Linked DNA regions of Astyanax mexicanus. The main gene of each other region encodes a partner of the protein of the gene in region 2 in a complex. Links are inferred from orthologs where the notes say so. Each region holds a gene or a part of one and is shown on either strand. Other genes may lie near its edges.

Region 1 (8,003 bases), on a different chromosome or scaffold from region 2:
AACACAATGTAGGCCTGTTTTTTTGGGACTTTTTGGGCCTAAAAACACATGTACACATGTTTTTTACTGTTTCCTGTTTACAGTACGAGTCAAAAGTTTGGACATTCATTAATTTAAAATGTTCTGCATTGTAGATAAATCCTAAAGTCATCCAAACTATGAACTAAAACATATGGAATTATTTTTGCAATTTCAGCTTTATGAGGTAGAGTCACTTAAAAATGACTTTCAGTTAACAGCTGTGCCTTGTTTAAATCTGTTTGAATATGCCTATTTGAGTTACATTCTAATCCATATTATGAGAAGCAAGAGCTCCTCAACTAAATAAAGAATAAACTGCTATAAGAAATGAAGGTCAGTCAATCCAAAAGTAAATTTTAAGAACTTTCAAAGTATCCTCAAGTGTAGTCACCCACTGCAAAGACCCTTAAAAACATTTAGATGATGGAACTGGCACTCATCAGGACCGCCCCAGGAAAGGAAGAGCATAAGTTCCCTTTGTTGTACAGGATAAAAGTTAACTTCAACGAGTATTTTGGTTTGAACTTTTTAACTAAGCAAAGAACTTGGCAAGAACGTTTTAGCTAAGTAAAGAAAAATGTACTTTAAGTAAAAATAAAGGTCAAAAATTTTATGATAATGATGGAACTGGCACTCATCAGAACTGCCCCGGGACAGGAAGAGTGAGAGTTTCCTCGGTTGCACAAGATAAAAGTAAACTTTCAATGAGTATTTTGGTTTGAACTTTTTAACTAAGTAAAGAAAAAAAGTACTTTAAGAAAAAATCCAAAAAGAAGAATTTCAAGGAATTCAAATATATCTTGTCAAGTGCAGTCACCGACTTCAAAGACAATCAAAAACGTTGTAATGATGGAACTGGCACTCATCAGGACTGCTCCAGGAAAGAAAGAGCAAGATATTCCTCTTAAGTTAACTTCACAGAGTATTGGTTTATTCTTATTTTGTTTTTTTAGTTTTTTTAATATTTTAACATTTTATTTCAAATATTACTTTTACATAAATAAATAAATAAGAAACATTGCGTAAGAAGAGGTGTGCCCAAACTTTTGACTGGTACTGTAAATATATATATATATATTATATTATTTATATATTTTTTTATATTATTGGGAAAAATGTCCATTAGCTCTAAAAAACATAAAATAACTATACTAGTTACGCTTTAACTGCGTTAAATCAGGGCTGTAAAGTCGCTAGTTAACTATATACAGCATTTTTCTGAATTCCTGCGCGTGAACATCGTAACTAAGAACCTACGGAGCGGCTTACCGTACTCATGACGTCACGGCAGTTCTCGTAAGGAGTTGCGTGTTGAGCGCAGGGCGCGCGCTGCTGATGACTCTGCGCTGTTCAGATGAATAAAGTGTTTATCAGTAATCCAGTGTGTGTTTAATCCTCCTCAGCGCGGGGGGAACTGGGAGAACTGGTCTCTCAGCGGGTCAGACTCTCCCCGTCCGGATCAGCAGCCCAGTCAGACCAGTCTCCGGGCTGTGCTGGTGTCTCGTGCCCTCCGTAAGGTCCCAGTGTTTTCGCTGGAAGTGAGAGGAGGCGCGTGGGGAATTCCTAGCAGAGTCACATTTTCCCTCCAATCTGATTGGTCAGCAGCGTGCCTGAGACTCAGTATCCCACTAAACACTGTCTAAACTACATACATCATCCAAACTAGGTAGACATTTAACTTTAATTTTCCTTAAAGACCTTACAAATTATGATTTTCTTTGATTTTACCAAATCGAAAACCTCTGGAATATAATTAAGAGGAAGATGGATGTTTACAAGCCATCAAACCACCAAACTGAACTGCTTGAATTTTTACACCAGGAGTAAAGCAGCATAAAGTTATCCAAAAGCAGCGTGTAAGACTGGTGGAGGAGAACATGATGCCAAGATGCATGAAAACTGTTATTCCATGAAATAGTAATTCATTCATGAATTCATTATATGTTTTATATATTTTTTAATTAATTAAATATATTTTTCAAATTTTAAATTAGGACATTAGAAGTACTTTTTTATCTGATGTGTTCTGGCCCAGTATTGTCTTTAAATATGAAAAATACATGAAGCAATGGACTATGATCATTACATATATCATTTTATGTCATATTGTATATTTGAATATATCTTTTTTGAGTAACAAATCCTCATTTTAACATTTCCACATGTCAGTATTTGATGTTTTATATTTTTAAGAAAAATAATAAAAAAAAATTCGTTCCCATACCGGGAGTCGAACCCGGGCCGCCTGGGTGAAAACCAGGAATCCTAACCGCTAGACCATATGGGAGCTGATACTGCAGCGCGCCGCTCCGCCTTTCATACATTATACACTGCAGTGATACTGTGGCTACAGATATACACGGGTTATATATGCGGGTAGGTAAATGTGTGCGTTTAGTTAAAAGTAGTTAATTATAGAAAATACTATAATTAATAATAATAAACTAGAACAGAGAACAGCAGCGATATCTTACCATTATTATTAGCTATTTAGCTAACTAGCTTTAGCATTTAACTTAAATAACTTAGCTAAATAACTTTAACACTTAGCTAGCTAAGCTTTTTAAATAGTTGTTTAATATATATAAATATAATTACAAATGTATTATTATTATTATTATTATTATTATTATTATTATTATTATTATTATTATTATTATTATTAATTATTAATGCCACAGCGACAAATTTTGTAATGTTACAGCAGCACACAGTAACGTTACCATTAAAAAGAGTTCCTTGTCCCTTAATAACGTTAATCCAGAATATGAGAAGCAAGAACTACTTAAATAAATAAAGGAAAAAATACGTTAAGACAAAATAAAGGTTATTCAATCCAAATAAAAGAATTTAAAGAACTTTGAACGTATTCTGAAGTGCAGTCACCGCAAATACCATCAAACACGTTATGATAATCAGGGTTGCCAGGTCACACAAAAGTACCCAGTCTAAAGTCTGTCTATAACCTGCCCTTCAGAAGCTTAAATTAGCCCAAAATATATGTCTGTCACACGTTTAGCAAATGTCAAAACAACTATGAGTGTACGACTTAATATTTTGTTTAAAGTCATTAATAGATAATAGTGTAACATTAGTGTTTTATTAGTTCTTTTATAACAGGTTTATATCCATGTCAAAAACATTTTTACTAGTAAGATAATTAGGAAAAAAAATAGAACAGACTTTTACTTACTCATTTCTGTTATTTTTTTCGCCTTGTGATTTCTGGTTACATTGTGATTTCTCTCTCTCTCTCTCTCTCTCTCTCTTTCCCGCTGTCCTCCCTTCATTTTTGACAAGCAAGCCTAATTTGGCGGTAAAACCACCAACCTGGCAACTCTGATGATGATGGAACTGGCACTCATCAGGACCGCTCCAGGAAAGGAAGAGCACAGGATAAGTTCATCAGAGTTACCAGCCTCAGAAACTGCATGTTAACAGCTCCCCAGATAAGAGCATCTAAATGCTTTACAGAGTAACGTTGTTAAGGTACTACATGATTCCTTATGAGTTACTTTATAGTCTGGATAATTTCATTTTTCATTTTTTTAATGTAGGGAAACAATTCTGTATTTTGCCACTGTCAGATATGTTAAATTAATTAGAAAGTTAATTTCTTTCAATAAATAAATGAGCAGATCAAATATTTTTAGGACTGATTAACTTTTAAGCCAAATTAATCAGAAATATGGAATATTCTAAAGATTTTAAACACTTTCAAACACCACTGTGTATATTTACATCTGTAACACTAGGTGGCAGTATAACACTGGTACAAAATCAGTAACACATGAATTTACTGGGACAAATTTAGACACAATAAAATTAGGATTGAGACTTAAACAAACTGTATTTATTACAGTTTTCTCTTAATTCCTCATAATCAGTATTTAATCCCCACTGCAGGTTCTATTTAAGTGATTTATTGATTCTACAGGTCTGGCAGTAATCAGGCCTGGTTGTGGTTAGTAGTAAAATTGACATCAGCTTTCCAAAAAATGTAGTTAATTCATGTTTATACATGTTAATGTTAATTCATGGGGGGTAACTTACATTAATTAATTTTCCATAATAAATTAAATTGTAATTTAAAAACTAAATACTTTTTTACAGCACTGATAGCAGTGATAAAGAAACATATTGAAAGGACAGTGCAGTCTACAGAGCTTTATACAGTAAAATACAGACAACGTCTGCTTCAAATTCATCTGTAGGTATTTTTCTGAACGTTTATTCTTCTTCTTCTTCTTCTTCTTCTTCTTCGTCTTATTATTATTATTATTATTATTATTATTATTATTATTATTATTATTATTATTATTATTATTATTATTATTATTATTTGTCCTTTATTATCATTATTAAAAACGCCTGATTCCAGATCAGTAGGTGGCGGTATTGGTCCCTGTAGTTTAGGCGCGAACAGCCATAGAAGAAGACCCCGCGAGGAAGGAGCAGCAGCGTTAGCATTAGCTTCGCTGAATATGTGATTAATATGGTTTAAACTTCTATTTCCTGCTTTTTAATCAGCTCTAACTCTGTGGGGGTTTGGTGTAGGTGAGATTTACTGTATTTTCCTACGGGTTTTTGTACATTATCCAGTTATTATCCTCTTATTCTGGATATTTTTCGTTTGTGGTAACGCTAATGTTGTTAGCCTGAGAGCTAACTAACTGCCTGACGCTGCCTAGCACTCACTCTCATTTACCTTATTTTTATTATTATTATATTATCTGTTCATATCTCACATTTATACTGCGTGTTTTACTGTATTTGTGTGTGTGTCTTTGTTTGTTTGTAAGTGCTAGCTGTCTGTTTCTGACCTCCTATGTTTTTGCTAGGCTAAAAGTTCCTGTGGTATATTTAGGCTATCTAATCTACAGAACATGAACTAACAGAACTACATTTTCATTGTTTTCGTTGTTTTTAATGTTTCTATTTTTATTTTTTAGGATCTAAACATCACCTGAGGTCACATACAGCATTATAACACTGTCAAAATGACTTCTAAAACAAAAGGTAGGCAATGGTTTGCATTTTTTCTAGGTCTTTGCTGCAAATTTAGCTACGTACATTAATTGCTGAAGATGTTATACCCAGCAAACACACACCATGTCAGACATCCCACCTTGCAAAAATATAAATAAATAAATATATTTATTAGGGGTGGGCGATATGGCCCTAAAATAGTATCACAATATTTCATGGTATTTTCCCGATAATGATACTTTTGGCGATACACTATACACTGCAAGAAAAATATATATATACATACATACAATGTAATACTGCACACCCCTAAGTGAGATATTAAAAAATACAAAAAAATTATCAGATTTGTAATAAAAGTCAATGATCCAGAATGTCATGATAATAATAATAATAATAATAATAATAATAATGCACTTCAAATTTCTCCATATATCCAGGATTAAAGTAAAATTAAAGATACTGGACAGATATAATCTGTCTCTAGTAGATATATAATGGGAAATGGGATGGGTGATATGGTACGATATTTTAGGGTATTATATCGTTCACTATATTTAAAAATTCTTGACGATATTATCGTGTACGATATGGCACACCCCTAATATTTATCAATTTATTAAGGAGTTTCAAGGTATTTTTAGGTTAACAGTCTTTTTGAAAAAGTTTTTTTATTTATTGCATAAAAACTGCAGACAAATAATTAATTTAAATATAATAAATTGCAAAATAAATACAAAACATATGCTTTCAGTAGTATAAAATAGTGCATGGAAGTACAGGTATACACAGGGTGACGTAAGGGAAATGGCACACCCCTAATTGAGATTTTCACCATATTATTTTTTGTTTTTTTGCAGTTGGAAAAGTAACTAAAAATAAAGAGGATGCTCCTCACGAGCTGGAGAGTCAGTTTATTCTGAGACTTCCTCAGGTAAGCGCTTTTTCCTGAGATTGTAGGTTTTTATTAAATGGTGAATAATATTTTACAGCCATAATAATATCAGAAGGGGAAAAGGTATGTAAAAATAATATAATAGTCATGGTTCAGCTGTATGAATTTTGTGTATAATAATCTGAAAATCTCCTGTAAAACATGGCCTGACTCAATCCTTGTATCTCCAGGAGTACGCCTCCACAGTGAGACAGATTGCCGGGTCTGGAAGCATGAATATCAAAGACAGACTGACCATAGAGCTGCACGGTAAGTGTACAAAAAAACATTTAGCAATGGTTTAAGTGAAGAGAAATGTTATATATTTTGTTTTCTTTTTCTTTTCTTTTTTTACAATTAAGAAAAGCTTATTGGAGGGGGGGGGATTTTTTTAGGTATTCGAGATCTAATTCATATTATTGTATGAGTTTCAAAAATGTTAAAAAGATACACAGCCATAGTCGCACATGCTTCTTTACTTGCACGTATTGCTGCAATGTGCCAATTTGTATTTTTGTATAAAAAAATGTAAAGCTTATTGTATCTTTTTTGGGATATAAAACACTGTCTTTACCAAAATAAGTAAAAAAAGTAAAGGAGCACTCAGCAAGCGTCTGAATAAGTTACAGCAGTCCAGTTTCAAAGCACCACCGAGAGTTGCTCACTCGGGTTGCCAAGTTGGCTGGAGGCTGAATCTACACAGTCCAGTGCGAGAAGAGTTCAGTGAAAGACGAGTCCAGCAACTTCTACCATGGCAAGCAACGGCGATGTGACTTATCTGCTCTTCCTTTGTGATTGAATTCATTTGACGTTAGCGTGTGTAGCATAATTGCGTTAGACAGCATAGTTACCTTGCACCATGCTAACCTATCTAGCTCTTTCAGGTATCATTTGCCTTGTTTTTTCCAGCTGCACACAGACCACTGATATGAATGTGAACACTCAATTATTTTATTTTATTCATTTAAACACCATTCCCTAGGAAGCTCACCTTGTGATTGTGATGAATTACTTCACTGAATTAGTTAGCCAGTTAGCTTACCTGTTCAGAAGAAAAGTAGCAGCTCAGCGTCGGTCTTGTAGTCTTTTTTTTTTAAGCTCTAAATCTTCTCTACCTTTCGAACTCACTGCCAATATTCACTTGTTTTATTTCTCCTTTGGTCACTGAGCTTTTTTTCAGACCAGCCCTGCTTGCTAGCTTCCATGCTGCAGCACAGATCACTCGCTATTTTGTATTTGCCACCTCAGTTAGTGCTGGGAACGAGCAGTAGGTGAAATCGAAGGGCAAAACAAACACAGATACCAACTGTGATGCACTGTACACTCCTAATAGGATCGTACTGGCTGATGTGCTTCTGACAAGAGCTGCCAGTGCTTTAACTCAGCATGTGTGCTTAATATCTGATGATATGTCCTAAACATTTTTATATTTTATCATTTACTACTGAAAATATAATCTCTATTGCTTCTATATTGTATAGCATATTCAGGGTTCGTATGGTCATGACAAAACTGGAAAACTAATGGAATTTTAAAGTTTTTAAAATTCAATTTCCAGGCCTTGATAAGTTTTGAAAAAATAAAAATACCCAGAAAATTTTGGAAAGGCATAGAAATGCGGTCTACAAAAAATTGTGTTTGCATTTTTTGATGGAGAAAATCTATTTTGAGCTAACATATATATCACCACAGAGTTACTTCAGTTATTTAGCCCAAATATAGGATCTGACACACATTTTATTTTTAAAGATTGCACTACAAAAATCCATTGGCAAAAAATAGACCAAATAAATGTTAATTAAGACGTAAATGCCTAAATTAAGCAAAAGAATCCTAGCTACATTTTTCAAAATAAGCAATCACAAAGTCCCAAAATGAGTGAAGTAAAACTCAAATCAAGAAAAAAAATCCTTATTTTGTGGCTTAAATTTGAACACAAGAATCAGAACTTGACTTTTAGTGCTAATGAGTTCAAATTACTTACAATAAGGTGGAAATTCTAAGTAAAACTGAATAAGATAATTATTCTTGTCAGAGAAAAGATTAAGATTTGTTGCCT
Region 2 (8,094 bases):
GAAGTGTAATGGGATGGAGTGCTACAGACTAGTAGCTCTCCAGCCCAGAGGGTTGTTGAACCCAACTGCAGAACAGTTGATCTCAAAGCAGGTAAACCCAACAAGAAAGGAAAAATAAAATAAAATAAACACACCGCTCCTAACGCACCCATCGAACCCAAAGCAGTGTCTTATAAGGAGATAAAGAGCCCAAGAATAGGCAGAAAAACGAGAATGGGTGTAAACTAAAGTTATGCCGAGCGCGACACAGGGGACAGGGGAGGAATGTATACAAAAGCTCACCAGAGAAGCATTTTATTTCTTCATTACCGTTCATTATAGTTCAAACACCCTCACGGGCAAGATGTTTTATGCTTGCAGGCCACAATTTACGCTATCCCATGACTTTTTGCATGAAAATGTGTGTGCACAGACTATGAAAATCAAAAGAAATCAGAAAAATTTTATACATGTTCCAAGAAATCTGATCTCTGAAACCCAGCACTCTGCTTATTAAATATGATTATGATTGGAGTGCACGAAAACCGACTCACTAATTTAAAACTGTTTAACGATCAGTGCTAAGTCTGATAGAATATCCCCCACACTCACCTTGGTCTTATTGTCCTCCCGTTTGGCCTCTCCCGCCAAACTGCCGGACATGCTGTCTATCTGGCTCTTGCTGCGAGGCATGCCATCGAAGATGTCGATGTAGAGATGCTCCTGAATGATGTTCCAGATCTGGTTGTTCTGTCGCTCCTGCAGGTGCCTCTTCAGCAGCTGGTAGGAGTCGCGGGAGATCCGCAAAACGAAGCGGCTCGTGCGGAAGTCTAGCAACGTCTCGTTGCCCTTCATGTGCTCCTTCTTGGTGAGGCCTGAGAGCACCCGCAAGTCGTCCTGATAGTAACACTCCTGGTCCCCATTAAACCTGAACATGAAAAGGAACGTTAGGCAGGAGCTGGAGGAGAGTTTCTGGGCAACAATTACAAGAAATACTCTGATCAAACACTGAAAAATTCACACTGTACTTATTTCCCATTATATGTCCAGTAGAGAGAGAATATATGTGTACAGTATAACTGATTTTATTTTCATCCTGTATAAATGTAGAGCATTATTAGTATCATGACATTCTGGATCACTGACCTCTGTTACAAATCTGATAGAATTCTAGTATTTTTTAATATTTATTATAGTTAGGGGTGTGTCATGTCATATTATATGCAATAATAAAACCTCATTTTAATTTTGTTGCAGTAGTGTATTCTTAAAATATTTTCTTTAATTCAGTGTTTTGTCATATCGCCAAGAGTATCATTATGGCAAAATTACCATGAAATATTGTGATATTATTTTAGGGCCATATCACCCACCCCTACTAGGCAGTGCCTGAAGAACTGACCATATCAGTCAACACACTGCAGAACTATTAGAACATCCAACTCTCTAGATCTCAGTGGGATTTCTTATGTGCTAATGAATTGTGTGAGATGTTAGATCAGAGAAAACAATAAAATGTGCACGGCAAAGGCGTTTCAGGGCCATGACTGAGACCAAAACTACTTAATTACCTACTTAATTAACCTCATATCGATATGTTTCAGATAAATGGTGATAATAGAATATGTTACGATACAGTATGTCTAAATAGTAAACAACTAATTTTATTAAGTATATAAATAAGTATTTCACTGACTGGACTATGCTGTGTGAGAAAGTCTTCATGCTGCTCCTTTAACTGTGACACTTTTCCAACATAATGCACAAGACTAAAGTCTGCACCAAAGCATTTCCACACACACCACCCATGTAGAATCTTTTTTGGAAATAAATGCAATTTCTGATGGTATTATTATGATATAAGCATTTTTATATCTTGTATAAAATGGGTTTAAATATAATGAAATATACGATTGATATATTGCCCTGCCCAACAGTAGTCACTTACTTCTCAAAAAAAGACTTGGCTTCACTTTCATGGTTGTTGTAGACCAGCTCCAGGTACATGTGCACGAAGAGTGGATAAAAGAGCTGCGACAGCTCGGCCCTGTGACAGTCCAGCACAGATTCAATGAACTTCTTCAAACCGCTGTAATAGACCTGATACAAGGATGGGTCACCCTGCTGACTGTACGCTGACAGAACCACGCTGACGTCCGGCTGGTCATCTCCTCCTGCAGACAACACATGAAATCAGAATATCATTAAAAAGTTACTTTATTTCAGTATTTCAGTTAAAAATGTACATAACATATATATTATATTTAAATATATTACACACAGAGTGATCTATTTTAAGGGTATATTTATTTTATTGCTGATGATTATGGCTTAAAGCCAATGAAAATCAGAGTCTCAGAAAATTGGAATATTATATAAGACCAATTGGTACTTTTGGCAGTCCTGCTGGAAAATGAAATTGTATTGTAATAGCATATCTTGTTATAAGACTGACATAAAAATAAGATTTAAATGACGCAGAATGTCTTTTAGTTAAGATTAAGGATCTTGTTATAAGATTGTCATAACACATGATGAGCATCTACTTCAACTAGCCCTCATAAACTTTACTATCCTGTGTTATAAGTGTTACCGGTACAAACAGAACTAATTAGCAGCTTGAGGAATTTTAAAGAAAGGTTTTAGTAATTGAAATGTTGGAGGAACCCCTAAAGGTGCTTTAAGGAGCCTTTAAGAAAACATAAGTTGCATAAAGGAACATTTATGGACTAAAACATTGTTTTGAAGGTTCCTCAAAGCCCCTCGAGTGGTGCTTTCTGTTTGAAATTGAAGAAACCATAAAAGGTTTCTCAATCAACTATTTATTTGTGTTTAGACACACACACACACACACACACACACACACACACACACACACACACACACACACAAAAAAACAAACACACACACACAAACAAAAACACACACAAACACACACTACTACTACTACTAGTTGTAGTAGTAGTAGCAGTAGTGATAGTAGTAGTAGCTGCATGCATGTGTGTTTTGACGTTTTGAGAGCAGCTCTGTTTCTTAGTCTGAAGCTCTTCTCTTTGTTCAGCTCCTCTCTATCAGACCCACCTTTAGCCGGAGCCGGAGCCGCCGCGCTCTGTGAGCCTCCAGACACCCGGCTGAGCAGCGCGCCCGCATCCCCGAGCTCCCCGCTCCCCGCCGCGGCTCCGCCGGCGCCTCCTGCAGCCTCGCTCCCCGGAGCTTCCTCCGGCTCGTCCGCCAGTCCCGCCTCCCGCCGCAGCGCGTCCACCGACTCGATCAGCTTGTTCCGCTTGAGGAACTGCAGCACGGCCAGCAGCGTCTGCTGATCCTCCGGCCGGGAGCTCGGCGCTGCAGCCGGAGCCGTGGAGCCATCGTTCATGAGCTCGGGCTTCGGCTCTTTCTCGCCCTCCAGCTCGCTCCCTCCGTCCTGCACGGCCGCCATTTTCTCCCCAGGCGCGGAAACTACTAGCTACAGACGGAACGACTCGTCAGCGAGTCGAGTTTCTTTTGAACCGGTTCTTTTGAATGAATCAGTCGAGCAGATTCAACTCAACTTCAATTCAGGACGTGACTGTTGTGCTACTGTAGCTAGCTTCAATAGAGATTAGTATTTTAGCATTTCAAGGGCATTCTGACAGCTAAGAAGAAGTGTAGGCTTTAAAATAAGAAAAGTACAAGTGTGAATTATCATGAATATTATGAAAATATTATGTTAAATCAAATTATTAGGAAAGTTAAAAATTAATATGAATATGCAGTGAAGTAAAAGTGGTAGCAGGAGAAAAAAAAATAAGAATACTCAGATACAGTATTTTAGTAGTTCCACATCTCTGGATACCAATGCTAATATCCTAAACCAACACGTCAAAATCCATCTGCGAATATATAAAGTATTTTTGTGCATGAAAAAGCAACTTCTGTAGGCACCGACATTTAAAAAAAATATATGTTTTAAAGCTTTAGTATTTATACACTTTCCTACTGACTATTCTTTGAGAGTGAAGAAAATAAAATTAATTATACAATCCTGTCCTACACAGTTATTTATTTCACACTCTAAAAACGTTAATAAATATTTGGATCAGACTCAATTAGGTGAAGCAAAATGCAAACCTAGTTTAATTCTAATTACTATTTAAAATACAAACCCATTAAACGAAGACCTAATGAATCGTTCACGTCAACGTTCGATTCACTGAATCAAGCCGGTTGCCTCTGTTCAATGAACTGAATCGAGCAGAACCAGTTCGAGCGGAAACGAGTTCTTACGCGATGACGTAGCGTGAGAGAAAAGGGACACGCCAAATGCGCGCGATTTCATTGGTTGGATTTTTCCGCTATTTTATCTCTTTTATTTTTTTATATATATTTTTTTTTCTTAATAAATTTAGATTTCTGAATGAACAAAACTTGGTCAAAATAAACAAAACATTGATCAATCTTTGGATTATTTAATATTCCATAAAAAAAAAAAATATATATATATATATATTGTTTTGTTTAATAAATCCATTAACTGTTTCCAAAACAGCTGAGTGTGGGAGCATAAAACAAACAGGTCTTTTGATTTTTCAGCATCACATTTTCAGAACATACATTCATTCATTTTGAAGCCGGACATGCCAAAGCTGGAAGAGTAGATATTATTCATTATTTCGTTGTGTATTTCGTTTGTTTTTGGTATTTAACGTTCTCAGTTTGGATGTTTCTTGCTGATTAAACAAAAAAAAACATATTATGTATATAAAATTGTGTAGGATATAACTCGTTTGCTAGAGTGAATCTCATCCATTTGTTCGAGCATTGTCATCAAGAAAATGATTTTAATTTAGATGGAATAGATAGGGTATTATTTTGATGGATATGTACATTTTATTGTAAAGTAGTCATGTTTGAAACAAATTATTTATTATGTTTTTAATATTTAATAATTGATAGATAAAACAGTGATTATTCGTTTACTCCGCCTCGACACTAGAGGTCGCGCTTCTGCTTCTTGCCCTACAGTCTTCTGCCCTCGGTGACTCCAGAGCCATATGGATCATATAGCCATCTCTATGGCTCTGGGTGACTCCCGGACTGGCTCCACCCATTCCCCGCGATCTGCCTTCTCATTGGTTCTCGCAACCATACGTCACAATCCGCGTGTACAACGCCCGATTCCCGTAAGTGTTCGTTTACGCAGAGTTGCGACTCATTAAAGCTGAGCGCGCCCGCTTACACAAACACCGCTACGCATTTTCCGTAACTAAAAATGAAGCACTGCAGTCGAGTCCTCAGTGACGATTCAGTTCGCTTTAGTTCCACGAACCGATTCTGAATCTTTCGTAGCGTTTTAATCACTGTCAGACCCCCATGTTAAGGTCAACTTTAAATATACTAACTAATATATTAACTATATATATATATATATATATATATATATATATATATATATATATATATATATATATATATATATATATATATATATAGTCCTGTCCTGGGAATCATCAAGATGTGTGTTGGCAAATGAAATAGGCCTGTGTTCTTTTTTTTCAGCAGTAATTTTTGCTTTGGAAACCATTTTCGCCAAGTCTCAGACTTATTATTGAATCATGAACACTTATCTTAACTGAGGCAAGACCTGCAGTTATTTTGTGATGGTTCACCATTGAGCCATGTTATGTCCATTTGTGAATAACAGCACAAAAACTCTTACTGTGTTTTGCTGGAGTCCAATTCTGATTCTGGTATTGGAGAGTGTAAATCAATGGTAACATATGACTATGGGACTAATGGGTCTAATACTATCAGCAGAGAAGCCAAGTAACAAAGTACAAATACTTTGTTACCTTACTTAAGTTAAAGTTTTTGTTATCTGTACTCAATGAATTCTTTTTCAGCTTACTTTTTACTTCAACTCCTTACATTCTTACAGTTATCTGTACTGTCTACACCTAACTTTTTTACACAGCTTTCTGTACTGTCTACTCCTTACATTTTAAAACAAGTACTTTAACACTTATTTTACTTGAGTAAAAGGCTTGAGTTGATACTTTAACTTCTACAAAAATATTTTGAACCCTAGTATCTATACTTCTACCTGAGCAATGAATGGTAATACCTCATACTGATTATAACTATTAAACATTCCATACCTAATATGAGAGTTCACATAACTGATACATTACATAATATATTATATTGTATTATAACTGTTTTAGGCGAAAAGGTATGTTGTCATATGCCATCAATGTTTTCTACAATAATTTGTACAACGCCTTCTTATTAATATAGTTTAAATCACTATTAAACTGATTTACTTTAATGGTCCGATTCAAAGAAAGAACCGAGTGTTTTGTGATTCGGTTCGCAGCTAAGGTGCAGTAAAGCTGAACAGCAGCGACTGGCCTGAGCGAACCGAAGACTCCTGAAGGAGCAACTTTGGTCTGCGGAGGGAATTTAGCTAGATATTATTAATCACATTACTCTGTTTATTGGCTGACCGAGGCTGGGGAGCTTTTACGAGCAGTTTTATTACCCCGTGCCTCTTTATTCCCGCTGTTTTATCTGTGGGGAGCTGAGTGAGGCGGGCGCCATGGCCAGCGGTCGGAGTGTGGAGCCCCTCAGTTTCAGCGAAAGCAGCTAGCGAGCTTCATTTGGAGAAGAGCAGCTACTTCTGCGGGCGGAGAGTGGAAGACTGGAGCTTTCTTTAAAACCAAACTAAGCTAGCTGACTAGCTAACGAGAGGACACGTCCTGAATTTTGTCCGTTTCCATGCTGAATATAATTTTACGAGCCTAGCAACAGCTAAGTTAGCTGGAGAACTAGCGAGCTAAGCTATCTGTAATTCGCCTCACTAACGTAGTTAGCAAGCTAGCTAACCTGAGGTAAACGGGCAGGACGGGATTGGACTCTCTCAGATATTTTTGAGAAAATGTATTATTTTTAACAGCTCCATATCCGTGCCATTTGTGTCAATTAAATGTCTTCGTTTTAACCATCTAAAAAAAGTGACTGCAGCTGTTTTTGAGGGCACACATTTCATGGCTTTGTCCCTCAAACACTGTGTCCAGGAAATTTAGCGTTAGCTAGCCTAAGCTAACGCCAGCTATTCTAACTAACAGCACAGCGTGGTGGAGTTGGCTTTTCTCCTCTCTCTGATAAAAAACCCACTTTAAACCACGAAGTAAAACAGGAGAATCTTTCAGAAGAAAGGGAAACAGATTTTGGAGCCGTTGTCGCTGGAGAAACCCAGAGGAAAAGGCTGAGAAATGTCAGGTCGGCCAAGAACCACCTCCTTTGCGGAGAGCAAACCCGTGTCGCAGCCTTTAGCGTTTGGCAACGTCAAAGTGAGCCGTGAGTATCTTTATGAACACTTCAGGCCAACAGTCCAGAAATCCTAATGTTTTAGGGACAAATCTTTTATTTATATAGCGATAAATTAACAAGATTTGGAAGTAAATTATAGAGGATAAGGATGAGGAGTAGTTAGCTCTGTCAGGTGATCTGTCAAGTCACTGTGTTGGCTCCATTTCATCCAGGACTGCAACTGATGATCTTTAGATTTAAGTAGCTGAATAATCGGCCTGTCGATTATTTTGTTGATTAATCAGCTATTGTTTCTGCCACACCCTTCACCCCTGCTTCCTGAGCATGTGGCTCCTGTTCCAGTGCATGTTTTACCTCACCTGTCAAGTCTCCCCACTCATGACTATTTTGGTAGTCGAATAATCTGTCGATTATTTTATTAATTAGTCAACTATTGTTTCTGCCACACCCTTCATCATTGCCTATTGAGCATGTGGCTCCTGTCCCAATGCATAATTTTCTTCACCTGTCAGGTCTCCCCACTCATGACTATTTTGGTATTCGAGTAATCTATTCATTATTTTGTGGGCTAATTAACTATTGTTTCTGCCACACCCTCCATCTCTGCTTCTTGTGCATGTGCCTCCTGCTCCATATATGTTTTATCTTACCGGCACAATTCTACACACTAGGGCAACCACCAATGAGTATTTTAGAAATCGAAATTTAGAATAGTTTGTAAAATCAATTTTTTGATTCGTTGATGAATCAGTATGTACCATTGTCTTTATTGTTGTATCCTGTGGGTGCAACTCTTGCTACAATGCA

Evidence for each region. The genes of interacting proteins can lie anywhere in the genome.
Region 1: taf5 (region 2) and taf7 share a complex: the UniProt entries of both Homo sapiens proteins name them as parts of the TFIID basal transcription factor complex. The link is inferred for Astyanax mexicanus from reciprocal best matches to the Homo sapiens genes TAF5 and TAF7.

What each region holds. Positions count from the first base shown.
Region 1 is NC_064417.1:51,690,962-51,698,964, reverse strand, and holds the start of taf7 (transcription initiation factor TFIID subunit 7), read left to right. Parts: upstream 1-4,432; 5' UTR 4,433-4,578; intron 4,579-4,973; 5' UTR 4,974-5,021; coding exon 5,022-5,040; intron 5,041-5,870; coding exon 5,871-5,944; intron 5,945-6,135; coding exon 6,136-6,214; intron 6,215-8,003. UniProt on the Homo sapiens protein: The TFIID basal transcription factor complex plays a major role in the initiation of RNA polymerase II (Pol II)-dependent transcription.
Region 2 is NC_064428.1:23,233,244-23,241,337, forward strand, and holds the start of taf5 (transcription initiation factor TFIID subunit 5), read right to left. Parts: upstream 3,467-8,094; 5' UTR 3,416-3,466; coding exon 3,061-3,415; intron 2,154-3,060; coding exon 1,928-2,153; intron 908-1,927; coding exon 592-907; intron 1-591. Other genes in the region: gsk3bb (glycogen synthase kinase 3 beta, genome duplicate b), read left to right, coding at 7,230-7,314. UniProt on the Homo sapiens protein: The TFIID basal transcription factor complex plays a major role in the initiation of RNA polymerase II (Pol II)-dependent transcription.